Linked DNA regions of Elephas maximus indicus. The protein of the gene in region 2 purifies or fractionates together with the protein of the main gene of each other region. This does not show direct contact. Links are inferred from orthologs where the notes say so. Each region holds a gene or a part of one and is shown on either strand. Other genes may lie near its edges. The genes, in order: SHPRH, RAD18, SLF2 and POLH.

Region 1 (7,362 bases), on a different chromosome or scaffold from region 2:
ACCTTGAAATGTTCTTTTTGACAAAGAATGCAACACCATTCCTCTTCAAGTTATCACTCCCGACATAGTAGATCATATAACTGTCCAATTCAAAATGACCAATACAAGTCCATTTCAGCTCACTGAAGCCTAGCATATCAATCTTTATGCATTCCACTTCATTTCTGACAATTTCCAATTTTCCTAGATTCATACTTTGTACATTCCATATTCCGATTATTAATGCATGTCTGCAGATGTTTCTTCTCATTTTGAGTCATGCCACATCAGCAAATGAAGATCCTGAAAGCTTGACTCAATCCACCTCATTAAGGCTGACTCTACTTTGAGAAGGCAGCTCCTTCCCAGTCATATTTTGATTGCCTTCCAAACTGAGTGGTTCATCTTTTGGCACTACATCTGACAATGTTCTGCTGTTATTCACAAGGTTTTCACTGGCTAATTCTTTTCAGAAGTAGACTGCCAGGTCCTTATTCCTAGTCTGTTTTAGTCTAGAAGCTCAGCTGAATTCTGTCCACTATGGGTGACTCTGCTGTATGTGAATACCAGTGGCATAGCTTCCAGCATCACAGCAACACACAAGCTCCCACAGTATGGCAAACTGACAGACATGTAGGGGGGTGCTTCCTTAAAAAGCTAGAAATAGAAGTTTCATACAATACAGCAATCCCACTCCTTAGTATACACTCTAGAGAAATAAGAGCCATCACACAAGTAGATATATGCACACCCATGATCATAGTAGCACTGCTCGTGACAGCAAAAAGATGGAAAGAACCTAGGTGCCCATCAACAAATAGATAAACAAATTATGGTACATACACACAATGGAATGCTACACAACAATAAAGAACAATGATGAATCAACCAAACATCTTACAACACAGATGAATCTGGAGCGCCTTATGCTGAGTGAAATCAGTCAGTCACAAAAGGACAAATATTGTATGAGACCACTATTATAAGAACTCAAGAAAAGGTTTAAACAGGAAAGAAAACATTCTTTGAGTGTTACGAGGGTGGGGAGGAAAGGATCGGGGAATTCACTAACTAGACAGTAGACGAGAATCAGCTTAAGTGAAAGGAAGAACAGCACACAATACAGCATAAGTCAGGAAAACTGGATTAATGCAAAAGCTAAGAAGTTTCCTGAACACAACCAAACACTTTGAGGGACAGAGTAGCTGGGGTTGGGGTCTGAGGACCATGGTTTCAGGGACATCTAGGTCAACTGGCATAACAAAGTTTATTGAGAAAATGTTCTGCATCCCACTTAGGTACGTGGCATCTGGGGTCTTAAAAGCTTTCGAGCAGCCATCTAAGATGCATCAATTCGTCCCAAACCACTTGGAGCAAAGGAGAATGAAGAACACCAAAAACACAAGGAAAATATTACCCCAGGAGACAAAAGAACCCCATAAACCAGAAACTCCATCAGCCAGAAGAACTAGATAGTGCCCCACTACCAAAAATGGCTGTCCTGTTAGGGTACACAACAGAGAGTCCCTGACAAAGTGAGAGAAAAGTGCGGTGCAGAACTCAAATTCATGGGAAAAGACCAGACTTAACAGTGTGACTGAGACTGGAGGAACCCCTGAAGCCATGGCCCTTGGACACTCTGTTAACCCAGAACTCAAACCATTCCTGAAGCCCACTCTTCAAAAATTTAACTGGACCATAAAACATAAAATAATACTCATGAAGAGTGTGTTTCTTAGTTCAAGCAGATACAGGAGACCAAATGAGCAGCTCCTGTCAGGGAAGCAGGATAAGAAGGCAGGAAGGGAAAGGAACTGGTTGAATGGACACAAGAAACCTGGGGTGGGAAGGAGGAGTGTGCTGTCACATTACAGGGATTGCAACTAATGTCACATAACAACATGCATATAATTTTTTGTATTAGAAATTAACCTGAATTGTAAACTTTCACCTGAAGCACAGAAAAGAAATCAAAGGACATATTACATTGGGCAAATCTGGAGCCCAAGACTTCTTTAAAGTGTTAAAAAGCAAAGATGTCACTCTGAGGACTAAGATGTGCCTGACTCAAGCCATGGTATTTTCAATCATTTCATCTGCATGTGAAAGCTGGACAATGAATAAGGAAGAACAAAGAATTGATGCCTTTGAATTATGGTGTTGGCAAATATACCATGGACTGCCAGAAGAACAAACAAATCTGTCTTGGAAGAAGTATAGCCAGAATGCTCATTAGAAGCAAGGATGGTGAGACTTCATCTCATGTACATTGGACATGTTATCAGGAAGGATCAGTCCCTGGAGAAGGACATCACGCTTGGTAGAGGGTCAGTGAAAAACGGGAACACCCTCAATGAGATGGACAAAGTGACTGCAACAAGGGCTCAAATAGCAATGATTGTGGGAATGGTGTAGGACTGGGCAGTGTTTCATTTTGTTGTACACAGAGCACATAACTGACTTGATGGCATCTAACAACAACAACAGCAATCTTTATGGGAGCCGAGTACCAGGTCTTTCTTCTGTAGAGCCACTGTGTAGGTTGGAACAACCATTGGAACAACCAATCTTTGCTACACATAAATTCATCAGTTTCTGGCCTCAAAGGATTTAACTCTGCAGTAACTCATCTACTTCTTCTTAACGAGTCACCCTCCTTGAGAACAACTTATAACATTCATTTGTAAAAAAGATGACTCGAGTTAGGGCTAGAATAAAGCTTACTGTCCCCCAAAGGAACAGGATCTATAGGTTTGGCCTAGTGAAGATACACAAGAAGCAAGTGAACTGACAGCCCTCACACTTATAGTCTGAAGAAGAAATAGCTGAATTCTTTGAAAACTGGTTGGTTCACTGGTACAAGCTGTTTCTGATCAATAGATTCCCAGGTGTGGAATGCCATTAGATTATCAGCATCTAATAGGTGCATGAACTCAGTGTCACGGGTGAACAGCTGTCTCACATCTAAACTTCTAAAGAGTCAGTAAGCAAATGTAAACCATGTTTTCTGAAATTAGTTCTGGTAATTCTAATACTGTATTCAACATTATTACGCCATAGAGAAAATTTTCAAATACACAGGGCACTCTGCAAATACAGGATTCAACATACCACTGGAAAATTCAAAAGGGAGAATTTTGTTTTATTGTAACCACTAAATGCCAGTGCATAGAAATATCTCTCATAGTGGATCTGGTGTTGAATAGCTTGCATAGGATTACCATAATTTTCTCTATAGAGATGAGTTAATCCAATCAAAGAAAGCAAACATGAAATGACCCAGTACTTTTTCTTTCTTTTTTAAAATATTTCTGCCTGGCACCAGCTGGACTCAACCCAACTATGGGCCCAATTTTCCTCTCCAGTGGTGAGAAGTGAGAAAAAATGATCAAAGACAACCTTTTACAGCACAATATACATTTAAATACTAAGTTTCAAATTACACTTTCAGAATAAAGTTTCCATTATGTCCTGTACTTGCAAAATGACTGGTTTCCAACAAAGAGGGACTCACCTGGCCCACTCTCCCCGCAACAGGACTACTTTTTCAACTTGCCTCAACTTGCCTTGAATAAGGTAACTGATTGCATCGATTTTTACAAGGTTTAGTTTATGTAAATGCTTAGAGGTCTGTGGTAAAGTTGTGTCCTACCCAGGATATGGATCACCTTGGACTATCTGCAACTAAAGCGAGTTTACTCTTAGGCAAGAACTTACTTTGTGCTTCTGTGGGGTGTCCCCCTCCACAGCAGTATGCTGAGTCCTTATGTGGCACTCACATTGAGTAGCTGATGTTTCCTGGGGGTCATTTTACGGGCACCTAGCCCTGAAGCCTCCCTTGACTATTCCAGAGTTAACTAAGTCTACCTCTATGAGGAAGCGGCTGCCTCTCACTGAAGGGAAGGACATACACTCGACGACTAGCTTCAGCACAATGCAGGTAGTTGTCCTCTCATCTTAAAACCTTTACTTACATTTATCTTGAAATTCTTAAAAACCATTTTTTAGGGGGAGATAAGATTCATCCGTACTTAATAGGTGGCTGCTTTCCAAAAGCAATAAAATGGTAGCTTTTTACAGAAGTTTTTCAGCCTTTTTGTCACAGGCACAAACCTCGTACACCTGTCGCTCCAAGGCGAGCCCAGGGCCCTCGGCGGGAAGCCACGCCCACATCTCTTGGTGCCCCGCCTCCTCCTTAGTGGTTCCAGCCAATCCTATAGACGCTATGACGAAGCTCAGCGCTTTCGCGAGACTACAACTGCATCCTTAGCTGGGCTTTAGCCTTGTGGACTTGCGCAGAAGAGACTCTTGAAGCCATCGCGGGAGAAAGGGGGCGTGGCGCCTCCGACGTGCGCGTTCGCCTTGACCCCACGCTCCAGCGCGCGCCCGGCACCGGGGAGCAGTGGTTACTGGGCGCTCCCGGAACCCCAATACAATCCAGCCTAAAGCGCGCGTGCTCCCCCCGGGTGGATTCTCTGTTTGATGGTGAATGCGACTCCGGGATCTGCGAAGGCGTTAGAGGGATCCGGGCGTTGGTGCTGAGAAACCTAAGAGTTTTGGATAACCAGCCAAGGTAGGGTGGGTGATGGTAGGGTCGGGGGTCAGAGGTTGGGGAAGGAAGGCATCTCTGGCCTCCCGGGTCACGGAAGGAGGACTCGGGGTGTCCCGGGGACTGGAAGCTAAAGGCTGAGCGGAATTCGCAGCGCGAGTCTCCCCCACCCCTTCCCCATCCCGACGCGCGGGCCTCTCGATCCCACAGCTCTCCCCGGCGGAGCTGGGGACGGGGGTCCGTGGGAAAGGAGGCGGTGTTGCTTCCCTTGGATTGGGGTTGCGGTTTTTTGTTCCAGTGACCACACCAGAGTGTCCGAGGGGCCTCGTCGCGCTCCTCGGCCTAGCGGTAGCTCGTTTGCCTGGCCTGCTAGCAGCGATCCGGCGCCGACAGCCCTGCTCCGACTCCTCGATCCGCTTTTGAGTCCTTTGGAAGAGAACTGAGTGGGTGTCTCCATTCGCCGCAGAAATGTCCTGGAGGCGGGAAAAGAAAAGCTAGACGCCTAGCTTCTTGGTGTGCGGGATTGTAATGTAGTAAAAGGGGAGGCCAAGGCTTCTAAATGAGTGGCTTAAAGTTCTGTTATATTCGCGTCAGAATCACCCTTGCACTACATTTCTGCTGAGGTACTTACTAGGTTTATCCATGAAGATCTGGTGTCTGATGATTGATGGTCACTCTCAAATAGCAGTATTAGTAAGAAATTACCATTAAGCTTGTGCCTTTTTTCCAAATGACTTGACAGTATCCACAGTGTTGGGTGTTCTTCTGCTTGTATTTAGCTTGAGGCTTTAACGGAGAAGAAATAAAATCATTTAAAAGTCATTACCGTTGTGCATGGCTTCGCCCTGAGTTTGAGTGACTCCAGAGCAGCGAACAACAACCACTATTTTTAATTATTCCAGTGGGAGATGAAACTTCTGTGAATAGAGTGGATCCACAACATCTGTATGGTCACGGAAAAGACTGGTCACTCATGCTGAAGCAGAGTAGCGGTGAGCAGCAGTGGAATAAGTGTGTCTGTGCTGGAAAACCTGCTTTTTCTAGAGCTTAGAAGCACCAGTAAGCTTGCAGATGAAGGGAATGAAATAGTTTGCTTTTCAGAGAATATTATGTATTCCTTTGGACCAACTTGAAAGAGCTATACTTTTAGAATTATTAAATCATTTGTTGAGAGCCTTTTTCAAGTTTATGTGACTAATGTCTGTTTTAGAGTTCAAGAGATGAAATTCAGGAGCCCTGGTGGCACAGTGGTGAAAGCATTCGCTGCTAACTGTAAGGTCGACTGTTCGAACCCACCAGCTGCTACTCCAAAGTTGCTCCACAGGAGAAAGATGTGGCAGTCTGGTCCCCTGAAGATTTACCTTGGAAAACCTGTGGGGCAGTAACCTATAGGGTTATTATGAGTCGGAATCAACTCAATGGCAATGGGTTTGGTTTTTGGTTAGTGGCACAGTAGTTAAGTGCTTACAAACCAAAAGGTTGACCTTTTGAACGCACCCAGCAGCTCCCTGGGAGAAAGTCCTGGAGATCCTGTAAACATTACAGCCTAGCAAACCCTGTGGGGTAGTTCAGCTCTGTCACACAAGGTCACTATGAGTCAAAATCAACTCAATGGCACACAACAATGGGTGAAATTACTCTCAATCTGCGGAGTTATCCCTACAGAAAAAGGAAAGATTGTTGTAATGCTGTGTTGTTGAGTGAGCATTTCCGCCATCAATAATGATTTGGGTTTCTTTCATTTCTCTTGCCTAAGGTATACCTGGAGCCCTGGTGGCACAGTGGTTAAATGTTTGGCTGCTGACCAAAAGGTTGGCAATTTGAATCCACCAGCCGCTCCTTAGAAACCCTATGGAGCAGTTTTGCTCTGTCCTTTGGGTTTCTTTTTCCCTTTTTTGGTGAAGTACACATTGGTACAGCAGTGTGGCAAAATGTATACTCCTTGTTTTCCTTCACAGCTTAAGCCCAGACTTTCCAGGAATTCATTGTAATTCAGGATTTTGGTGTGTCTTTTAATGAAGAGACAATAGTTTGGGGAAAAAAAATCTGAATTTAATTCATGTCCACTTGTTGTATTGTCTTATTAACTTATGTTTCAGTTTATTTTTCTAGCAATCTGTCTTTGTTTTCTAGCAAACAGATACACTTCAGTCAGTTTACTCTCTCTCATTCTGGGCCAGGAATAGTAAAAAAAAAAAATAGTTTCATGTTATCTGTAGTCTTCTAGGAAACTCTGGTGGCGTAATGGTTAAGAGCTACAGCTCCTAACCAAAAGGTCGACAGTTCAAATCTACCAGGTGCTCCTTGGAAACTCTATGGTGTCATTCTACTCATCCTATAGGGTCGCTATGAATTGGAATCAACTCGACGGCAACAGGTTTTTTTGTTTTTGTTTTTGTTTTTTGGTAGTCTTCTAGAGTATAGTTAAACGAGAGTTCTTCAGAAAAGAAGTGTGAGTAAAGTACATTCAGTTCTTACAACAAGGGAAGTTGTTCAGGGAATTAGAGATCTTCGTTTCACTGTATTGAGTATGTCATTTTTATGCTGGCACTGACCTGGCATTGGGGTATAACACTGAATAGGATACTCTCCCTGCCTGGCTTTCAAGTAGTTCAAAGTCATTTAAGAACCCTGTAACAGTTGGGAGAAGGAGGAGAGGCCCTAACTCAACTTGGCTGGTCGTGGAAGGCTCTCCAGGGAAGATTAGTACAGTAATAGGCGGAAAAGAGTGAAAAGAACATTTCAAGCAAAAGGTCTTTTACATTTAATCGCAGGGCAGTGAAAATGTGGTCCATATAGAAAACTGCACATAATCGTGTTTCTCCCAAACACTG
Region 2 (7,124 bases):
CCTCATTTGATTGGGGTGTGTCTTAAATCAATACGTGTAAAAGCACTGAGAACAGAGCTTTTCATACAAAACAAATCAGAAAACCAGTTATCAGCAAGTCAATACCAACTTATGGTGACCCCATATGTATCAGGGAGCCCCGGTGGCTCGGTGGTTAAGAGCTATAGCTGCTAACCAAAAGGTCAGCAGTTGAATCCATCTGCTGCTTCTTGGAAACCCTATGGGGCCAGCAGCTCTCCTCTGTCCTATAGGGTCACTATGAGTCAGAATCGACTGGACGCTGACGGGTGTGTGTGTCAGATTAGAACTGTGCTCCATAGGGTTTTTAATGGTTAATGTAGGTTACCAGGTCATTCTTAACCATTTGTACCACCCAGGGACTCTGCTTTGAATACAAGTACCTAGTAAATGTCAGCTACTATTGTAATGGATGTTGAAGTCCTTTGTGCAAATGCTGTATACTATTGCTATTACCCAATGAGTATTTGCAGACAGGCTGGGAAAAATCAGGGGCCAGAGATTCCTTTCAACAAGATCCCAAAGGAGTGAAGCCAAGGCTTAACTTCTCTGAACTCCAGTGTCCTTTTCTGTAGAATGACTATAACAACTTTACCTCTGCCTACTTCACAGGGAAGCTTGTGATGGTTAAGATTGTGTGTCAACTTGGCTAAGCCATGATTCTCAGTGTTCGTACGTGAATACACCCATGATGGGATCTGCTGTGAGTAGTCAATCAGTTGAAAGGGAGTTTCCTTGGATATGTAGCCTGCATCCAAATATAAGTGGATGTTTGTTCGAACTTTTGCCCTTTCTGGATCCTACAGCTGCCTCTTGTTCATCTGACCTCCGGTTTCTCAGACTTGAGCTAGCAGCTTACCTGCTGATCTTGGGATTCGTTGATCGTCACAGCCTGTGAGCTATAGTCCTGCTCTCTGACCTGCTGATCTTGGGTTCACCAGCCCCTGTAGCTATGTGAATCAGGGGAAGGCTTGCAGTATTGCCTGCTGATCTTGGGATTTGTTGACCTTCACAGCCTGTGAGCAAGAGCCCTGCTCTCCAACCTGGTGATCTTGAGTTCGACAGCCCCTGCAGCTATGTGAATCAGGGGAAGCCTCTATTCTGACCTATGGACTTGGCGTGCTCCAGCCTCTTTAAACACGTGAGCTGTTTCCTTGATATAAATCTCTCTCTCTATGTATATAATTACATGCTTTACTGGTTTTGCTCCTCTAGAGAGCCCAGCCTAAGACAAAGCTCAAGTGCCTGGCCCATGGTAAGCACAGGGTGACAGTGACAAGCTGCAGGGCTCTGCCCTTAGCCAAATATCTGTTCTTACTTGCTGTCCGTGAGACATGGTGCAACAGAGGTCCCCATAAGTCAGTAAATAAATGCTGAGTTGAGCAGACAGGCTGGAAACTGAGCTGGTCAGTGTTTCTCATGTGGGCAGCAGGCCCTCTCATATTATCAGTGAAAGTGTAAATGTATTGGTATGAAATTTTTTGGAGAACTATTTACTGCTAGCTATCACAGTTTTAAAAGAGCAACAAATTGGCTGAGTAGTTCCATTTCTAGGACATCACCCCCCAGATACCTTGGAAAAAGTGTGCCAAGGTTTATACAGGTGAATGCGTTCACTGCAGCTCTTTGTAATAGTGAGAAACTGGAAACAATCTCAACGTCCTTGTCTTAGTTACCTAGTGCTGCTGTACCAGAAGTACCACAAGTGGGTGGCTTTAAAGAACAGAAATTTACTTTCTCACAGTTCAGGGGTGTAGAAGTCAGAATTCAAAGTGTGGCTCGAGGCCCTTCCTTGTTTATTTTCAGCTTCTAGAAGCTGCCAGCAATCCCTGGAGCTCCCGGGCTTATAGACGCATCTGTCCCCTTAGTCTGTCTTCCTCTTCCCCCTGTGTTCCTGTCTGTATGTACATATTTGCTCTTTTTGTAACTCAGAAGTGATTAGGTTTATGACTCACCATACGCTGGTATGACTTCATTAACATAATAAAAGTTGTTGTCATTGTTAGGTGCCCTCAAGTTAGTTCGAACTCATAGCGACCCTATGTACAACAGTACAAAACTTTGCCTAGTCCTCCATCCTCACAATTGTTGCTATGTTTGAGCCCATTGTTGCAAACACTCTGTTAGTGCATTTCGTTGAGGGTCTTACTCTTTTTCATTGATCGTCTACTTACCAAGCATGATGTCCTTCTCCAAGGACTGATCCCTCCTGATAACTTGTCCAAAGTACATGAGATGAAGTCTCGCCATCCTAACTTCCAAAGAACACTTCTTCTAAGCCAGACTTATTCATTCTTCTGGCAGTCCATGGTATGTTCAATATTCTTTGCCAACACCATAATTCAAAGGCACCAATTCTTCTTTGGTCTTCCTTATTAATTGTCCAGCTTTTGCATGCATGAGAGGTGATTGAAAACATCATGGCTTGGGTCAGGCATACCTTAGTCCTCAGAGTGACATCTTTGCTTTTCAACACTTTAAAGAGGTCTTTTGAAGCATATTTGCCCAATGCAATACATCATTTGATTTCTTGACTGCTGCTTCCACGGGCATTGATTGTGGATGTGAGTAAATGAAATCCTTGACAACTTCAATCCTTTCTCCATTTATCATCATGTTGCTTATTGGTCCAGCTGTGATGATTTTTGTTTTCTTATGTTAAGGTGTAATTGATACTGAAGTTTGTAGTCTTTGATCTTCATCAGTAAGTGCTTCAAGTGCTTTTTACTTTCAGCAAGCAGGCTTGTGTTATTTGCATACCGCAGGTTGTTAATGAGTCTTCCACCAATCCTGATGCCACGTTCTTCTTCTAAAAGAAAACTTCCTGTTTCCAAACAAGGTCACACTTACAGGTACAGAGATTAAGTATTCAACATTCAATCCATATCACACCTCAATATGGGAGTAGATGAATAAATTTTGGTACATCTATTTTATGGATTATGTAGCTATTAAAAAGAATAAGGTAAACTATATGTACTAGCATGGAGAGATCTCAAGATGTATGGTTAAGCAAACAAACCAGGGCTTTGTACCAGTTCCTACCAGTTTGAAACCCCTGCTGAGAATTTGCATTTCCACCCCAGATATACTGAATCAGAATCTACATTTTAACAAGATCCCCAGGTGATTCCAACAAATTCCCAGGCAGTTATACATAAGAATCACCTGGGGTCTTGTTAAAATGTAGATTCTGACTCAGTATATCTGGGGTGGAAATGCAAATTCCCAGCAGGGAACTTCTTAGAAAATGCACGTTCTCAGCCAGGGTTCCAACTGGAAGGAACAGGTCAAAGCCCTGAAACAAATGCACACAAGAAAAACAAGTTGTCTGAGTTATGCATTTAATATAACATTTGTGGGGAAAATGTATCTATGTTTATATTTGCATAGGAAATACACGGAAGTCTGTATGCCGTTGTCACCAATGATCATGAAGATGGCACGGAACCTGGCAAAGTTTCTTTCTGTTATACATAAGGGGCCCCACGAGTCGACCAACTTGATGGCAACTAGCAACAACATAGTCCAAAGTTAACAGTGATTATCTCTAAAGAGCGGGACTAACTTTTAAACGAACATTTTCGTTTAGGTAAAAGAAAGAGCTTCACATTTAAAACCCAGAGGCTAGATTTGGAGTTTGGTCGATACCACTGCTTGACTTAAGGAAACTTCACTTTTTTGGACTGCATCTTCTTCTTGTGTAAACTGACAATGATAATACCTACCTCCCGGTGTTGTGATAGGGAGTGGCGTGAAATAATGGATATGATAACCCCTGTTCAGAGCAGGCTCAGATCAATACAGCAATCAGGGAGGGCGACCCGAAGGAGGAGGGATAAGCCTGACCTCGAAAGATTTGGCAAGGCTTGGATTTGGCTTATTTTGATTCCTGAATGCCTTTTCCTAACATTCGATAGCCATCTATTTGTCAAAGATCTGGTACAAAACGGTCTCCAAGCCTTTGAATCACCCATCCTTCCCCTTCATCGGTGAGAGGCAGGGCATAACCCCGGCGCGTGCGCAGTGCGAGCACCTTTGGCTGCGCCCCGCCCACGTACTACAGCTCCCGGCAGGCTTCGCGCAGGCCGTAGCTGCGTCGTGGACTGATGTCGTGGCTCAGTAGCGCGGGGAATTTCGAGTGGCCGTGGAGCGCGGGAGACCAGTGGGAGGCGGACCCCCAGCTTCCCCAGAAGCGACCATGGACTCCCTGGCCGAGCCCCAGTGGCCTCCAGGCCTAGCAGTCATGAAGGTGAGTGCTTCGGAGAGGGAGGGGGCGCCCAGGCGCCTGCCAAAGGCCGGACCAGCGTCAGGGGAAAGGACGAGTTGGCGAGCTGGGCCTGGGTTTTCGACCCTCTCTGCCTTTTGCTGTCCGCGTGCCTCTGCGCCTCAGTTTCCTCCCCTGAGAAGTGGCGAGGACAAGCCTCGGTGTGTCATGGTGGGCTGAGGTTGGCTTATGGAACCGGGTATTCTGCGGTTCAGCCATAACAGTAACAGTGACATCGAGAAAAACCAGTTACTGCAAACGGTGACAACGACGATGACAGCTAACCCTTTCAGAGGGCTTACTTTGTGCCAAGCAGTCCATAAGCTCTTACAGTACACTAGTTGAAAATTTACCAAAGTGACATTGGACATGATTTTGTGAGGACACTGCATCGAATAACATCCTGTAACGAAGCAGGTAATCTCTTTTATATTCTTTTTCATTTCTTCTAATTACTCTGTAGAGGCTTCGTGCTGGGTTGTGCTAACATATGCCCTAATTCCTCCCTACCATGTTCTAACAACTCTCTAACAATTCCTCATTTCCTTCTCTTTTAGACAAAGAGATCAGGACTCAAGGCTCAGCACTAGCCTTCAATAGATTAAAAAAAAAAAAAAAGATAGTTTCATTTAAATAAGCATTTATTTTTATGGCTACTTCCTGTTTTTTGGCAAGGCATACCAGTTTTTGATCACCTCTGGATTCCTGCTAGATTTGCTCAAGAACATGTTCACTTTGCTGTGCTGGATAGCATTTGTTGCTTGTTTTTTTTACCTTTGTGATTGTGGGGAGGATCACTTTCTTGTTCTTTTCCTCGTTTGTAAACTGGGGATTATGGTATCTGTTCCTCTAACTTGTAAGACTGACTTTGAGGATCAAGTGAAGGGACTTGGGGAGGCTAGCATAATGATAAGACCTTGTTCTTCCTACTGTCAGCAAGTGTCATCTCTTGTGCTTGGGGACTTAAGACATCCTCATTTTACACTACAAAGAGTGGAAGGATCCAGGAGAACTGTGGTTTCGAAGTTGTGGTGGCTTTGGTGCCAAGATAGAGTGGAGAAAAGCATAAATTTTGAGCTCCAATTGTTCTGGGTTAAATCTGGACTTTGCCTCTTATTAACTGTGACCTTGAGTCAGTTACTTAACCTCTTTGAGCTTCAGTATCCTCAACTCTAAACTGGAGGCAAAAATGAACAGTTCATGTTGTTCTTAATTGTTGTCAAGTCAGCCTCTGACTCATGGCGACCTCATGCACAATGGAATTAGACTGTTGTAATGCATATTTCATTGGCAGATTTTTGAAAGTAGATTGCCAGGCCTTTCTTCCTGGCCTGCCTTTCTTCCTAGTCTAGAAGCTTTGCTGAAACTTGTTCAGCATCAGAGAAACATGTAAGCCTCCACTGACAGATGGGTGGTGGTGACTTTGCTGGAGTGGAACCTCAGTCTCCTATATGGAAGGCAAGAATTCTACCACTGAACCACCGCTGCTGTCTGAAAACAGTTCATAGGATTGATTAAACGAGTTGATGTATGTGGGTTGGGATCCTTTTGCTTTGTTCATTGTGGTTAACACGGCATATAGTGGGTGCTTAACAATTATTTGTTGACTGATTGAAGGTATCTGAAATGTAGTAAGAATTGAATTAATTTATCTTTATTACTATTAGCAGAAGCCTGCACTGGTGGTGCAGTGGTTAAAGCACTCAACTGCTGACCAAAATTTGACAGTTCAAACTTAACACTGCTTGCAGGAAAAAGATGTGACAGTCTGCTTCTGTAAACATTTACAGCCTTGGAAACCCTATGCGGCAGTTCTACTCTGTCCTAAAGGGTTGCCAGGAGTCGGAATCGACTGGATGACGGTGTGTTTGGTTTTGGGGTTTATTGTTATTAGCATTTAATGAGTTCTGTGCCCTTCCTTCTCCTTTTTATTTGCTGTTTGAAGATTGAATTAGATAGAGAAAGCCAAAGAGCTCTGTAACCTGTACATCTACTGGCTTTGTAGACTTCAGCATATTTTATGTGTTTTCACAACTTCCACAGTGTTCTCCAGTGGCAGCTTCCCTGTCTTCTCTGACTGTATGTATACATATGTGTATAAATCCAACCAGACTCCAGCTCTTTATATAAATAAATACAGGGTTCAGCACCAGAGAGTGTTCAATGCTGGGGCTGACTGAACCCATATTGGGCTCACATTTGAATCACGGAATATTGAGGTGGGGAAACCAGCCCCCTCCAGTATTTTAATACTTTTTGTAATGTATCTGCCACTTTCTCAGTTTTGGGATACTGATGCTATAGACTTCGTAAGATTGTTATGAAGATTAAACTACATAATTACCATTATTATGTATTATTGTTGATTTGGTCTCTGATTTTTTTTTAATTTCCATCAAAACATGAACATTTTCCTATTGCATTAATTATTCTTTGAAAATGTGTTTTTTAATGGTTATGTAATTTCTTCATGTGTACTATCAGTAACAGCGTTTTCGTTTTGGTTACTTTTTCCAAATTTAGGCAATATACTAACATGGTTTAAGAAATACATAAAATGAGAAGTAGAAGCCTCCCCTCTACCTTGTCCCTCATTTCTGCAGTTTTCTGACCCCCAGTGTCCATTATCTGTTATTTTCCTATGCATCTTTTCAGAATTTCTTTATATGTATATGTAAGATAAAAATGGAATGCATTCTTACCCCACCCCGCCATACTTTGGACAAAAGGTAGCATACCACGTGTGTTGCTTACACCTTGCTTACTTCTTTTACCTCACTACGTATTTGGGCCATCTTTCCGTATCAATACATAGGGGAACACCCTCTTTTCCTTTTTA
Region 3 (7,257 bases), on a different chromosome or scaffold from region 2:
TTAAAAATTTAATCCATCCCCCTCTTCCCAAAAAGACCCAGCAAGAAATACATTAACAGCATACATACCTTGTTTTGAAGCTGGTTTGAAGAAATCTGTAATTGACTGATTTCTGAAAATAAAAGCATAACTAACATTGTATCACATAGGCAAATATTAAAACCTCAGTAATTCAGATTAAATGGCAAATGCGAGTCAGATTTATAGAATACAGGCTGGATTTCATTATCTGGTTCAAATAATCAAGTTCTGAAAATAATGCTTTGCTAAGCTGATTATAAAAAACTGAAAATATGATTCACCACTTCCTTCAGGAGTTCATTTATACAAACACAAAAATCCAAAGAGCAAACTCACTGCCCTCAAGTTCATTCCAACTCACAGCAACCCTATATGCCAGAGTAGAACTACTCCATAGGGTTTCCAAGGTTGTAAATCTTTATGGAAGCAGACTACTCTAACTTTCTCACTCAAAGGGGCTGGTGGCTTGAACCACCAACCTTCTGGTTAGCAGCACAAATGAGGCTTATATAATCTATAATGCTAAAATGATAAGACTGGACCGTGGATTCAGGGAATTGGTAGAGTAGTGCTTCTTAAGACTGAAAAGTTCACTGCTATGTGGTAGAATGAAGATCTTAAGGACAGGGATCTGATCCTATTCCTTAATATCGCCAAAGCTTGGTATAGTACAGTGCTCAATAAATGTTTGCTGAATGAATAATGGAGATTATCAAAACTGAGTGACATCTGAACAGACTCTCTGAACAGGAGTGAGAGATGAACACAAAGTGAGATAGGAACATATTACCAAATTTGTATTTTGATTTGTTCATGTATTTAGAGTTATTTGTCAGTTGCATATATGGGATGTTATTACATGGAGAGTGAAAAAAAATTACTTTCCGGCAAATTTTTCTAAAATCTATTCGTTCTTACTGAAAGAGGATAAGCTGCTGACTATAGATTTCCCTAAACATTTATTTACTGTGAGGTTGGAATGCGCAGAGAAAACTTAAACAATCCAAATCCCTTGAAGGTTAAGCTTTTTTTTTTTTTTTTTGAAGGTTAAGCTTTTTCTACATCTTGTACGTTTTACTGGTTACATTAGAAGAATAATGCCCATCTTTACTTAGAATCCACAATGTTTTAGAAGTTGGAAGAAAAGCTAAGTGGTAAGAAATGAATCCACAATGTTTTAGAAGTTGGAAGAAAAGCTAAGTGGTAAGAAATGAATGAGTGACAGGCTAAGGAAGTATCTGTGCATTTGTTCACATAAAATAAATTGTATCTGGCAAATTAACTCCAAGAGTAAAGGAAGAGGTGCTACGGGTCCTTTTACGGGTCCTTTAGAAGGAAGGATGAGGCCTTCCTGGTTGAGGAAACAGAGGTGGGAAAGAAGAGAGAAGCAGCTAATTCGAAACAAGATAACAGTATGTTTTTACAATAAGTACTAAGTACAATACTATGTTTCTTCCCTGAAACATTAGGTATTAGACTCCTTTTCAATACATACATCAGAAAAACAAAAATGATTTTGAGTAAAACAAGAAATTTGTTAAAATAGCCATCAATGTAGTTTTCAGGAAAGAAGAGTTATGCAAGTTCATGTGCACAGAAATGTCCACTACGTTTTTATAACTGTTTTTTTTTTTTAAACTAATTATTTACAACAGCTTCACAAACCCTTATCTGAAACTTCTGGGGCCAAATTTGTATTAGAATTCTGAAAGTACCACATTTTAGAAAGGGGTTATTATCTTGGATGTATCCAAGTACATCCAAGTGGGGTGTGGGGCTGCACATTCAGACTCCCCAGTAAAACTTAGAATATTCACACTTCATGTGATAAAGACCATAAATAGCCTTACATCAACTATAGTCAGGTTAAGCTGCCAAATGAGGTTTGGTGCCAAACTTACTGAAAAGTTGATTTTCATAGCTTTCTGAATTAAAATAAGGCATTGTGGACCTGTACAACAATATTAGAACATAAATTTACTGTTAAATTTGTCACAAGCTTTTAAACTTAAAAAGACAGAAAAAAGTGCATATAGAATTTAAACACGTTTTATCGACACAGGATGTCATTTGATAAAATTCTCCATCTTATTACACATCTCTCACAAAGTTGGTTCACGAAATCTTTACAAAGAAATTGGCCTCTAGAGAGGCTGAAAGTTACTGGAAGAGAAACCATATCACGTTCCTAAACCTATATGTTAAGTATAAATTATCGTGTACACTGGGCTATATAGATGTAATTCGTGGAAGGCTTTCCTCATTACACCTGACCTAACTTCACCCACAATATAGAAAAGTTTTATACTGTTAAACCACTAGGACCAGTAAAACCGACAATGTAGAGAAAAAGACCTAAATATGCATCAGGCAGTTAGGGCCCCGAGTCAAGCTATCGCAAAGCACAAAAACCACGGTCTACCTAAGGCGAGTTCTCCGTAGCCACCCAGGCTCCCTGGGGTCCTAGACCCAAACAGCTCCGCAAGTACAAAAAAAGAAACTCGTAGTCCCAGAAGCCCCTGCGCGGACGCGGGGCGGGGGTTTGCCAGGCCCAGAACGCAAGGCCTGAGCTCGCGGAGGATGGCGGGAACTGGAAAAGCGGCCGTCCTCAATCCTCCCTTATACCCTTGCCCCCGCGACCCGGCCCCTTCTCAGCCCCTCTGCACGGTACCTGTCCCCAGGACTCTCTGTTGTCTTTTCCGCTGCAGCAGGGGCGGTACTGCCGGGTCTCAGGTGGCAGCGCGGGGGCGACGACCCCGGGGCTGGGGATGAGGGGAAACCTGGCCTAGTGGGCATGCAGCGCCTTGTCATGTCGGCGCCGCTGGCGACGGCGGCATGAGCTGGGGCAGGCGAAATTGGGTGCGTGGTTGCCGTCTTGCTGCTGGGACTCAGAGAGGCTGTCGGAGCAGAGGTGGGCGGCACCCCCTTCTCTCTTCATGGCGGTTCTCTCTCTTCGGAAGTGACTCCGGTGTGAGCGGGAAGGAACCTGAGGACCAGGAGGGGGCGTGTCCTACTTCAGGAGCCGCGTCCTGATTGGCTGACGCAGCGGCCATTCCGGTAGTGGAGCAATAGAAAGCTCAGCTTCTCAGGGGAAGGTGGAGTTTCGGAAAGGAGGCGGGGAGGAGGAAAACTGCCCCTCCCGTCCCGTCACGTGCGCGGGGGGCGCGCGCAGCCGAGTCCAGGCAGCGTCGGCCTTGGCGGGCGCGCGGGGGCGGGAAGACACAGGTCCATGGGCGCTGCGGCAGCCGGAGAAGCTCGCCTAGGGGAGGTCGAAGGGCTAGGATTGCAGAAGCAAACCGACCCGGCCAACTGCTGTCGGTGAGGATGGTCAACGGTTGGGCTCCCTGTGCCGCACAAGTGTCCCTCAGAAACCCCCAGCTGTTCATTACATCGCTTCTTAAACATCTTAGGCCAAAGTGCCCTAATGCTGTCACCATTTTCTCAGTAGTCCGTACAGCCGAATCTGAAGACTTGCCCATTATGTGGGCGTTCTTGTTGTTTGTGGTAGATTTTGCTCTTTCGTTTAAAGAAAGGAAAAAAAAAATTATTGAAATAAAGACCGTTTTTATCCCATAAAAGCATTTTTGTTTCTCAGCTGCTGAAATGAGTTATCCATAAAATCTCTGCAACCAGGTTCCATGGAGGTCCATAAAAGGAACATAGGGTCAGCTTTCAATTACTCATGGTAAGTGTGAACAGCATAGATTATTGAAAGCCTCCTGCAATCTCCAGTCCACCTTCCTAAAGGGCTTGTGCTTTGGAGGCTGTTAGCCAAAGAGTTTTCCTTATTAGATGAGAGACTGGTCAGATTATCTCTGTGCCTCAGTTTCCACATCTCTAAAGTGGATATAATACCCACTTTCCTGCATGATTGTAAACCATAATAGATAAGCAATGTGAACTGCACAGTTTAGTCTCGTGTAACAGGCACTCAGTACATTATCTTTCTTTTGGTCTCAAGACAGACTCTTAGGCTGAGTTTAGCTTCTTGTACATACTCCCAGAGACAGGTCAAATACTACTACCCCAAAACTATAAAAACCAAAATAGCAATCTCAAGGATGCCCAACCTCTAACTGACAAGCTTGTTCAACCAATTAGGATGGAACAAAATCTTAAATGACTCGAAAGAATTTGAACAGGCCTTTAAATTTTATCATACGAAGATTTAATTGCTTTGGTTGCTAAGCATGCCTGGCTGACCTGAACTCCACCTTCTTTCCCCTCCTTAGTATCCCTTAGACTCACTGCGGTCGAGTCAATTCCAACTCATAGCGACCCTATAGGACAGGATAGAACTGTTCCATAGGGTTTCCAAACCTGTAAATCTTCACTGGAGAAGACTGCCACATCTTTCTCCCATGTAGCAACTGATGGATTTGAACCATGGACCTTTTGGTTAGCAGTCCAGCACTTAACTGCGTCACCAGTGCTCCTCTCATTATCCCTCAGGAGGAAGAGTTAATGAGTAGTAAAGTGGCCAGCGGAGCCAAGATGGTGCAGTGGTTAAGAGTTCAGCTGCTAACCAAAAAGGTTGGCAGTTCGAATCTACTAGCAGCTCCTTGGAAACCCTATGGGGCAGTTCTACTCAGTCCTGCAGGGTTGCTGTGAGTCGGAATTGACTGCAATGGGTATGGGGAAAGTGGCCAACAGGCTGGCAAAGTGGAAGGTGGATGGTAAACAGTGAACATACAGGTCTCTCATCCATCCAATAAGTTTATTGAGGGCCTCTGTGCACAGCTATATATTCTAGTAGTGGTACAAGAAAGGAAATACCAAAAAAAAAGGCGCTTTTCTGCTATCAACTGAGAATTTACTATACCTAGCATTGTTCCTTACATAAAAAAGAACATAATAGGTGCTCAAAATGTGTCAAATGAATAATTTATGCATTGATTTAAGGGCTTTTCACATGTATTATTTCCTATCTTGATTTTGTGTTTTCTGTTTGATGTTTCTACACTAGGAAGTTCCTGCTTCTGTAACAGAGCACTTCTGTAAAACATTTAATCTGATTCGTTTCATTGCCTGCTCAGTCCCTACAAAGAATAGTGCATAAAAACACGTTCTGCATGATCAATTGGTTGCTTTTCTTGAATTACAGTATTTGAATCATCCGACCTCCAAGGTATCACTTTAGAGCCTATACTCACAATACCAAACAATAGTTTTCACATTTTCTTAATCTAAGCAACAGATTAAGGAGTTAAGTGAGGCAAGAAATCCCTTGATCAATAAATGGAGATGGAGTCATAATGAAAACACAATTTTAAAAATCTCTTCTTAACAGGGAAGTAGTTATCTAAATCCTCAATAAGTATCAAGGCTTTTCTTTGTCTGAGATAATACAGACTTGGGTTTCAGGGTGAGATATGCTCAACATACTAACCAGAACTGCTGGCAGCCTCTATGCACCCCCCACCAATATAGTGTCGGAGAGTCTATTTTGTGTATATACCCCTCTTCATACTTTAAATGTGTACATATATACCACAAACATAAACACACGCGTGTACACACACACATCTGGTTTATGTAAGGGTTTTTTTTTTTAAACACATATTTGTAGTGGGCCAGAAATAGATGGCCAGGAAACTGTATACTAGGTGAAAGATGTTAAAAGGGCCCAGGTATGGACATGAGCAAAGAAGAGGGTAAAGTAAAACAGGTGGAATGAGGGGGAAGACAACAAATAAACAAGACTAAATTAGAGGCTTAAAATGAGACCTCAGCCAGGATCAGAAAGATAGTTCAGAGCAACTAAGGCTAGATAACTATAAAAGGCTAGTTTTGGGAAGATTTCTAGGCATGGGAATACGGAAGCAAAGACCACAAGGATGGAGTGGCTTCTAGGGATGAAACTTCTACTGGGTACAGTGTGGCTCAGTTTAGCACCCTGAATTGTTAAAGAGAAAAGGAGGAGAGCAAGCTTGGGCCTTGATGGGAAGGGATGGGGCAGCAGGAGAAACAACGTTACATGAACAACAGTTTGCTGGGAAAATCCCGCCCAAGGTGGGAGTACTGAGAGGAGTGTAACGGATGTCAAAGATCCAGGCGGTTACGTAGAGAAAAAAACAACTTGGGCAGATTGGATGGAGCAGTACTTTAGAGCTCAGCAGGCTGGGACTAAGAGAACAAAAGGCTAGTTAAGTTAGGAAGAATGTTACAAGAATAGGGAACTCTAAAAGTAACTTCTGATTCTGCAGTAATGACATATTTTTGCTCTGAGATTGCTGCGTTATGGTATAAACTCCAAGGCCTTGTTGGAGAGTACTCTTGGGCAAGCCAAGGGACAAGGACCAATTTGTGGCAGAGTTGCGGGAAGTCAAGAGTCTGTGTGTGTGGAGGTGGAGGTAGAGGGTGACCTGGGAAGGGGAATAAGGAACAGACTCAGAGAAACAGGAAATAATTAACTCAAAAGCCTAGCAGAGAAAGACCATGTGAGGATTTAACAAAACAAAAAAAAAAGGGAAGGCGAGCTCACAGCCTCTCAAGATCCACACAAATCACTTTGCAAATGGATACTGAACTCAAAAGGGCCAAACAAGTGCTTGGAAAAGGCACTGGCTTGGTTTTAAGGGACTTCTGGGGAAAAGCCAAATATAATTAGTAAAAATGTGCAAGAGCAGATCTGATGTTAAGGAAAATAAGTTTCTCGTTATTTCGTTATGGAATGGTAGCAAGATAGTGTTTCCCATACTTCAGATACAGGGGTAACATCTTTGTGATTTTTGACATATCTGAATGTTTCTTATTATTTACTGAATATTTTTCTTTAAATTACTTTTTAACCTTAAATACATTTATTATTCTAGAAAAAAACTTTGTATTATTTCCGTAAGTAGAAAGTCAGTATCACGTCACTTTCCCAAAATGAGTGATAATTGTAAAACTCAATAACTAGTAAAATAAGCATTTATATATATTCCCAAATTTCTCCCGGAGTCATTCATTTACCAATGGTGGTAGGCCAAGATACTCCTTGTATGTCTGAAGTATGAGAAATGTTTTAGGAAATACTGGTTCTAGGGACTCAAGCCTGTAATCAGGTGTTTTTCATACTCAGGTAGCAATCCATTCAATAGAGGGTTTTTAAATTGATGTAATGGGTCACAGACCACATTAAAAAAAAAAAAAAGAATGGAATAGAGAACATTGGTGCACTGCAGTGTTGATTTGCAAAACTTATACTTCTTCATGTACTAATATATACATATATATTTATTTAAATACAGC
Region 4 (7,122 bases), on a different chromosome or scaffold from region 2:
TTTTTTGGCAAGCTTTTCTAAGTGTATCGAACCAGGAGTCTTGCCTTCCAGTAGGAGATCTGGGTTCAGTCTCCAGCTGGTGCACCTCAAGTGTCATTGGAGGCTTGCGTATTTCTATGATGCTGAACAGGTTTCAGTGGAGCTTCCAAACTAAGACACACTAGAAAGAAAGGCCTGGTGACCTACTTCTGGAAAATCAGCCCCTGAAAACCCTATGAATCACAATGGTCTGATCCAATTGTGCATGGGGTTTCCATGAGTCAGGACCACTTGTAGGCAGCTAACAACAAGGTAGTGTTCCCTGGATTTGTCACTGAAAAGTTACTATTTTTCCTTTTGTAACTAATGATCATCTTGAAGGAGATACTTTGAGACTATGATAATATCCTACTTCTCCTCAAACTTTCACCACTAATTTAACCACTCATCAGTGGATCTTGCTGTAATAATCATTATTGTAGTGTTCTAATGGTGATTTTCTACCCATTTATGTAAACTTTGAACACAAACAATACTGCACACTGTTCGCAGATACACACATAAACAAAGAAATGGATGGTAGTTGGAAGAATACACCCTACATATTTGAGGGAGGGTACAGACTAATGTTATCATCTAACATTGTTACTGATCTGGAAGAAGGAATAAAAGTAAAGCAGTGGCTCCCAAACTTTGTTGCACATTGGAATCATTTGGGAACTTTTAAATAATACCGATGTCTGGTTTCCACCCACAGAGATTCTAATTTAATTGGTATGGGGTGCTTCCTGGGCATTGTGATTTTTAAAAACTCCCCTGGGCATTTCTAATATGCAGCAGAATTTGAAAACCACTAACTTAAAGTAAATAAGATACCTATGGAAACAAACACCAGTAACTGATGATTTAAATTTGAGAAACAGGCTATACAGTTGAGCAAGCACCCAACTGTATTCTTAAAAAAGCCTGTAAAAAATTGACATACACCTTGAAAAAAAAGTGTCACACAATTACAAAGCTGGAACAAGTGGAAAGAGCAACAAAGAATGAAGAAAATCAGAGTATTCAAGGCATTAATTCCTTATAAATTCCTATTGACCACTCATCTAAAACAGGCAGAATGTGATACTTTAAACATGTGTAAGTTAAAACCACAGCATGTGAGAAATTTCTTTATTTTGTATTGGCTTTTATGTAGTACTGGAACAGATAATGCCTGAGTAAAAATAGTAAATGCATTGTAACAAAAACAGCACAGCCCAAAGTATCATATTAGATACAAATATCAGAACTGGAGTGTGCATAGGAAGCAGTGATTTAAGCCCAGTGAACATTTTAGTGAGTACAGAAACAGATATGCAGGCTTTAACAGATAATGAAGATGTTGAGGTGTTCAGTTTATGTATTTTGGTGGAGAAAGCAAGAGCTTTTTAAGGATGGAAAATGAAACACACTCTACCAAAACCATGCTTTGGGAACGAGAATTACGCTACTTTGAAATCGTATATATAGCAAATTGTCAATACCACACGAACCTTCAATAATTGTAATTATTCATCTTTAAATATCTAGAGTCATTCCAATATGTACAAAACAAGTTTGGTGCCTATGAAATGATGACATATCCAGGAAAGTAAGTACAAGTGAAGAGGGAGATTTAAGAGTTATAGCGAAAAATATTTTTTCTAAAAGAAAAATCCCCTTAGAGGACAATACCAGGGCCTTAACTACGTTTCTATTTTCACGTAACTTAGGCCCCCCCCACCCAAAAAAATTGGGGGGGGGGCTAATTTTGTTACCAGCCTCTGCTGTATCACAAAACCAATAGCCAAGGCAGCATGAAAAGTCTAAAAACATTGATACTGCACAATTCTAAACTCTCTTACCAGTGTGATAAACACCTGGCAGAACTGTCAACGGCGGAAGCCGCAGTTGCTGGGTTCGGAGTCCACTGGAAGGGAGATGAAAGGGTCTTGAATATCTTGTCGCCTTTCCAGGACCAGTCCAGTTGTTCGAGAGAGATCTATTCCCAGTGTCGACAGAGAAATGGGCCAAGGGTCGCGAAGGATCCTTGCCCGGGCAGGCGCCCGCACAGCCAGGAGTGTGGTTCAGCCAAGATCTAGGCGCTAAGCCGCAAGCCCTTCTGACAGATGATCAGACTGCGCGCACTCCGATAAGGACCGTTGACGCGCCTGCGCACCGCGACCCTTCCGTCGCCCGCTCCGCCCACCGCAGTAAACGTCACAAGGCTGCCGCCACTTCCGTGGGCGCGTGCGCACTGGCGGCTCGGGCGCGTGCGCAGCGCCGGCACCTTCCTGGCTCGAGCTTCAGCAGCTCACGCTCCTCCCCCCGTTCCCCATCCCCCAGCCCAGCGCGGCCCGGTACCAGCTTGTGGTGCCGCCAAGGGAGCCGTCCGTGCCTCGTGCTCTCAGGACGGCCGCGTTGCGCGCTGGCGGCGCGTGGCGCTAGCCATGGAGATGGATCAAGTGAACGCGCTGTGCGAGCAGCTGGTGAAAGCGGTGACGGTCATGATGGACCCCAGCTCCACCCAGCGCTACCGGCTGGAAGCCCTCAAGGTAGCCGGGGTCCTGGCGCCCCCGGGCCTGGTCCGAGACCCTCCCCTGACCCCGACTCCCCCGGCCCCGGTCCCCTGGACCTCCTTCCCCAACCCTTGGGGGGGCCTTCCCTGGCGGCGGTCCACGCCTCTCCCTCCCCCGCCTTCACTGCTCGCCGCGCTTGCCCTTCGTCCCTCCGTTTTCCTCACGCAGGCTGCGCTCCAAATCCCGCATCTCTTCGCCTTCCGGTGGCGCACGTGTTGATCCCGCCCCCAACACCAATCTCTTTCTTTAGAGTTTTCCCTGCACTAAACGTTTCGCTACTGATACACTCTCCTGATCCATCCTAACCAAGCTCCAGTCCACCTAGTACACCTTTACTTACATCCATACACCTCTCGCTGACCCCTCTTCTGTGTCTTGGGCATTTCTGGGCTAGTTCTTACGCGCCCCACGTTTTTTAGTGTGTGATAGTCTTGAGCAAAGATGAACTTCTACCGCTTACTTTGCATTTTAACAAGGGCACTTGGGTTTCCTGAAAGTAGTTTTCTTGAGTCCCGGATGCTTTGGTCCTGGTACTGACTCATGTGTTACAATTCCGGAATCCTAGTACAAATGGGGATGTTATTAGAAAAAGAGCTTATACCCCTATCAAACAATGTTTGTGAGCTCTGAGAAATGGCTGCTTAGAAAAAATATTTGTGCTGTATATATTTTAAGTGTGCAATTTCATAAAATAGCGCCAGTTGGAGGAAACTTTACAGTAGATGGATGTATGCGCCAGGGTTTGAAATAAAAAACAACTGGCTTCTATTAGTCTGTTTTTTGTTATGGAATATTTAAAACAGACATGAAAAGTAGAGATAATACTGCAGTGACTCCTGGGTATACTCATCACCTAAATTCTGTACTTTTAAGTTCTAAATACAGCAGGATTTGTTGACGTATAACAAATCCTAGAAATTGTCATTTCACTTTTATGTACTGCAGGGGTATATCGTTAACAATTTTTTTTTACTCCTTTAGGTCATTTTTTTTTTTTTTAATATTAGTAAGGCCGTACCATGGAAAATCTGGAACCATCAGAGTGAAAGAAATGTTTATCATTTCTTTACTCATACAGTAGTAATCTAGATTTGATCAGATTAGAATTTCTTAGAACGAAGCTTATTTAGTCTCCACACTGTCTTAACGCCCAAGAGAAACACTAACTTTTTATTTTTCAGTTTTGTGAAGAGTTTAAAGAAAAGTGCCCTATTTGTGTCCCGTGTGGCCTGAGGCTGGCTGAGAAAACACAAATTGCCATCGTCAGGCATTTTGGCCTTCAGATCCTGGAACACGTTGTCAAGTAAGGCATTTTACGAGTTTACCACTGAAGTATGTAAGAGAGCAAATCTTTATTTCTTGGATAACTCAGAGGTGTTCTTTAAAAACTTGTTGCCGTGGAGTGGATTCCAACTCATAGCCACCCTATAGGACAAAGCAGAACTGCCCCACAGGGTTTTCAGTGCTGTAAATCTTTATGGAAGCAGACTGCCACATCTTTCTTCCTTGGACTGGCTGCTAACGTTTCAGTTAGTAGTCACGTGCCTCCAGGGCTCCCTAGATGTTCTTTAAGTAAGCAGAATAGAGCATTCTTCAAGGGAAAAAGGAATAATACCCAGAATTATCAGATCCTCCAGGGAATTCTCATTCAAGACTGAACCTTTCTGCTCTTCAATTTCTTCATCCTGTAAAGTGCCTGCTACATACTAAGCATTCAAAAAATAATAGCTGCTAGTCACTCACCCAGCATTTATTGAATATCTATATATGCCGGCAGATCTCAAAGCCTCTTTAGGATTATACAGTGTATAAAACCCAAACCAAACCCAGTGCCATTGAGTCGATTCTGACTCATAGCGACCCTATAGGACAGAGTAGAGCTGTCCCATAGAGTTTCCAAGGAGCACCTGGCAGATTCGAACTGCCGACCCTGTGGTTAGCAGCTATAGCCCTTAACCACTACACCACCAGGGTTTCCATACTGCGTATAGATAAATAAATTTGTGATTGGACATTACTTTTGATTTTCTTTTCTTTTACGTTTTGAGTGTGTACCGTCTCTGAATGGCACTTCCAAAGCAATATTATATGTGAATAACTGAAAACTCCTCCAATGCCTATCACAGAAATCCATTTTTAAGACTTAGCCTCAGGTTTTCTGGAATTGTGCTGTTATTACCTTGTAAACCAGCGTAATAAGGTAGTTGGTGTTATCAGATTGTGTTTTCTGGAAAAAACGACTATATTGTAGTTGTCCCAGATGTATATTTGTTTTCAGTCTATTAATAAAATCATGGGGGAAGCTGATGTGTGCATAAATCCTATGTGAATTCCGGTTAATGGAGTGCTGTATATATAAACCCCTGGAATTTTTCTGTTTCTAGCATTTTGGTTAAATGTGGACTATTTTTGCCCATTCTTTGAAGGGTACAAAATCAAAAGTATAATTTTCTAATGAAATTGCCAACATAATCTAACACAGGAATCAAAACTAGTTTCTTCTGAAGAGAAGCCTTCTAATGGGTTCTGTTTCTGACTTTCTCTTTTTTGGTGGCCAGGTTTCGATGGAACAGCATGTCTCGATTGGAGAAAGTATACCTGAAGAACAGTGTCATGGAGCTGATTGCAAATGTAAGGAATGGTTGGTTGGAAGACTTGTGTTTCCAAGGTAGTTTAGACAAAACATGACTTCTTCAATTTAACATTTGCATAAAAATTCACTGGTTCTATGTAGGTCAAAGAGCATGTTTGGTGTAATGTTAAATGTGTACCTTTAAGGTAGAAGGACTACCATTAACAAGAAATCATAATTCATTACATTTAACCAAAAAATACCAAACCCAATGCAGTCAAGTCAATTCCCACTCATAATGCCCTTACAGGACAGAGTGGAACTGCCCCATAGGGCTTCGAAGGCTGTAAATCTTTACGGAAGCAGACTGCCCCATCTTTTTCCTGTGGAGCAGCTTGTGGGTTCAAACTGCCCACCTCTCAGCAGCTTAACCACCTTTCCATCAGGGCTCCCAAACTTCTCTTACTAGATTTAATTTCATCCCTTACGTGCTGGCTTCTGTTTTTAAAATATAAAGATAGGACAGAAGAGATTAAACATTTTCAGCAAATGAATGGATTCATAGGTTTAAAAGATTAAAACTTTGCTGTTTGTTATCTTTTATTCCAAACTGTACTGTATGATACTAGTAATAAAAATATGTAGAATGAATTGTTTCCCCAGTTAGAAGATGACTTTAAATGTTTAAAGTCTATAGCCTTTTTTCTTTCCTTTCTTTTAAACAAAAGGGTATGAAAGATGGAGTCCCTACCCCTTTTCATCTCCAAAATCTAGTGTCTTCAATAGAAAAAAAAAAAGCTTTTATAATTACTGATTAACTTATTTAGCTAATACTTTTTTAGTGCTGTTTCTGGGGCGACAATAGAAATCATACTTCCTTAGTCTTGACATTTTCAAACTTCAGAATAAGAGAAACCTAGTGATAATCTTTCTGTATCTTCTAATACTGTAACTGTTGGTAAAATATTAATTGCATCTCCAGACCCTCCAGTTTTAACATTCTCTCAGCATACTCTTGTTCCTTATTTCTATACTTTTCTGTTGTGACGCTCTCAAAAAATGAAACAATCTATATGAGAGTTTCTTCGTTTTGAAGGGAGAGCTGTGATGTCTTCCTTGCTCTTCAGCGGCATTTTATTAGTGGTACAACCCTCACTTAAGCTTTACGTGGGAAGAATGATTAGAGGGAATGCAGGGTAAGTGACTCAAACATGATGAACAGGTTTGTTTGTTGTACTTAGTTTAAAAGCAGGCCTGCTCATGAGTTTTATATACTTTTACAGCCCGGTGTTCCTTAAATTCGATCTTGCAGATCTCTCAGTATCTCTCATTCTTTTTCAGGGAACATTAAACATTTTGGAAGAGGAGAACCACATTAAAGATGTTCTGTCTCGCATCGTAGTAGAAATGATCAAGCGAGAGTGGCCACAGCATTGGCCTGACATGCTAATAGAATTGGATGCTCTTTCCAAACAAGGGGTATGAAGAATGGATAAATCAATTCAATATACTGTTCTGGAATCTTCAAATTTTTTATACTGTCTTTTTTTTGGTGGGGGGGTGAGAGTCAGCATTTTAATTTAATTTAACTAGCTTATTTCTGTTGGCATAGGAAACACAGACAGAATTAGTGATGTTCATCCTTTTGCGACTGGCGGAGGATGTGGTGACCTTTCAGACACTTCCCCCTCAAAGAAGAAGGGATATCCAGCAAACATTAACCCAGAACATGGAAAGGATCTTCGCTTTTCTACTTAACACACTTCAAGAAAATTTAAACAAGTACCGGCAAGTGGTAAGGGATACCCTACCCCAAGAAAGTCCTATTTCCTAACGTGAGTGGCTTTTTTCTTTGTTTTTTAAGAAACTAATCCTTCAACAAGGAGCTAGAGTGCCTGCTTTAGCAAAAGAAAAGGCCATTTTGTAAGTAAAAAAGAACCTGGTAGATCATGGGAAAAATGAATTAATTTT

The links.
Region 1: the proteins of RAD18 (region 2) and SHPRH purify together in Homo sapiens (affinity purification with western blotting; 3 studies listed by BioGRID and IntAct, with this or other methods). This does not show direct contact. The link is inferred for Elephas maximus indicus from reciprocal best matches to the Homo sapiens genes RAD18 and SHPRH.
Region 3: the proteins of RAD18 (region 2) and SLF2 purify together in Homo sapiens (affinity purification with mass spectrometry; 3 studies listed by BioGRID and IntAct, with this or other methods). This does not show direct contact. The link is inferred for Elephas maximus indicus from reciprocal best matches to the Homo sapiens genes RAD18 and SLF2.
Region 4: the proteins of RAD18 (region 2) and POLH purify together in Homo sapiens (affinity purification with western blotting; 7 studies listed by BioGRID, with this or other methods). This does not show direct contact. The link is inferred for Elephas maximus indicus from reciprocal best matches to the Homo sapiens genes RAD18 and POLH.

What each region holds. Positions count from the first base shown.
Region 1 is NC_064819.1:216,764,779-216,772,140, reverse strand, and holds the start of SHPRH (E3 ubiquitin-protein ligase SHPRH), read left to right. Parts: upstream 1-4,345; 5' UTR 4,346-4,552; intron 4,553-7,362. UniProt on the Homo sapiens protein: E3 ubiquitin-protein ligase involved in DNA repair.
Region 2 is NC_064838.1:33,902,192-33,909,315, reverse strand, and holds the start of RAD18 (E3 ubiquitin-protein ligase RAD18), read left to right. Parts: upstream 1-4,120; 5' UTR 4,121-4,219; coding exon 4,220-4,270; intron 4,271-7,124. UniProt on the Homo sapiens protein: E3 ubiquitin-protein ligase involved in postreplication repair of UV-damaged DNA. Postreplication repair functions in gap-filling of a daughter strand on replication of damaged DNA.
Region 3 is NC_064834.1:52,571,137-52,578,393, reverse strand, and holds the start of SLF2 (SMC5-SMC6 complex localization factor protein 2), read right to left. Parts: upstream 3,012-7,257; 5' UTR 2,833-3,011; coding exon 2,693-2,832; intron 113-2,692; coding exon 69-112; intron 1-68. UniProt on the Homo sapiens protein: Plays a role in the DNA damage response (DDR) pathway by regulating postreplication repair of UV-damaged DNA and genomic stability maintenance.
Region 4 is NC_064819.1:108,007,187-108,014,308, reverse strand, and holds the start of POLH (DNA polymerase eta), read right to left. Parts: upstream 3,010-7,122; 5' UTR 2,920-3,009; intron 2,556-2,919; coding exon of another isoform or gene 2,451-2,555; exon of another isoform or gene 1,866-2,450; intron 1-1,865. Other genes in the region: XPO5 (exportin-5), read left to right, coding at 2,451-2,555, 3,761-3,882, 5,138-5,210, 6,493-6,630, 6,764-6,946. UniProt on the Homo sapiens protein: DNA polymerase specifically involved in the DNA repair by translesion synthesis (TLS). Due to low processivity on both damaged and normal DNA, cooperates with the heterotetrameric (REV3L, REV7, POLD2 and POLD3) POLZ complex for complete bypass of DNA lesions.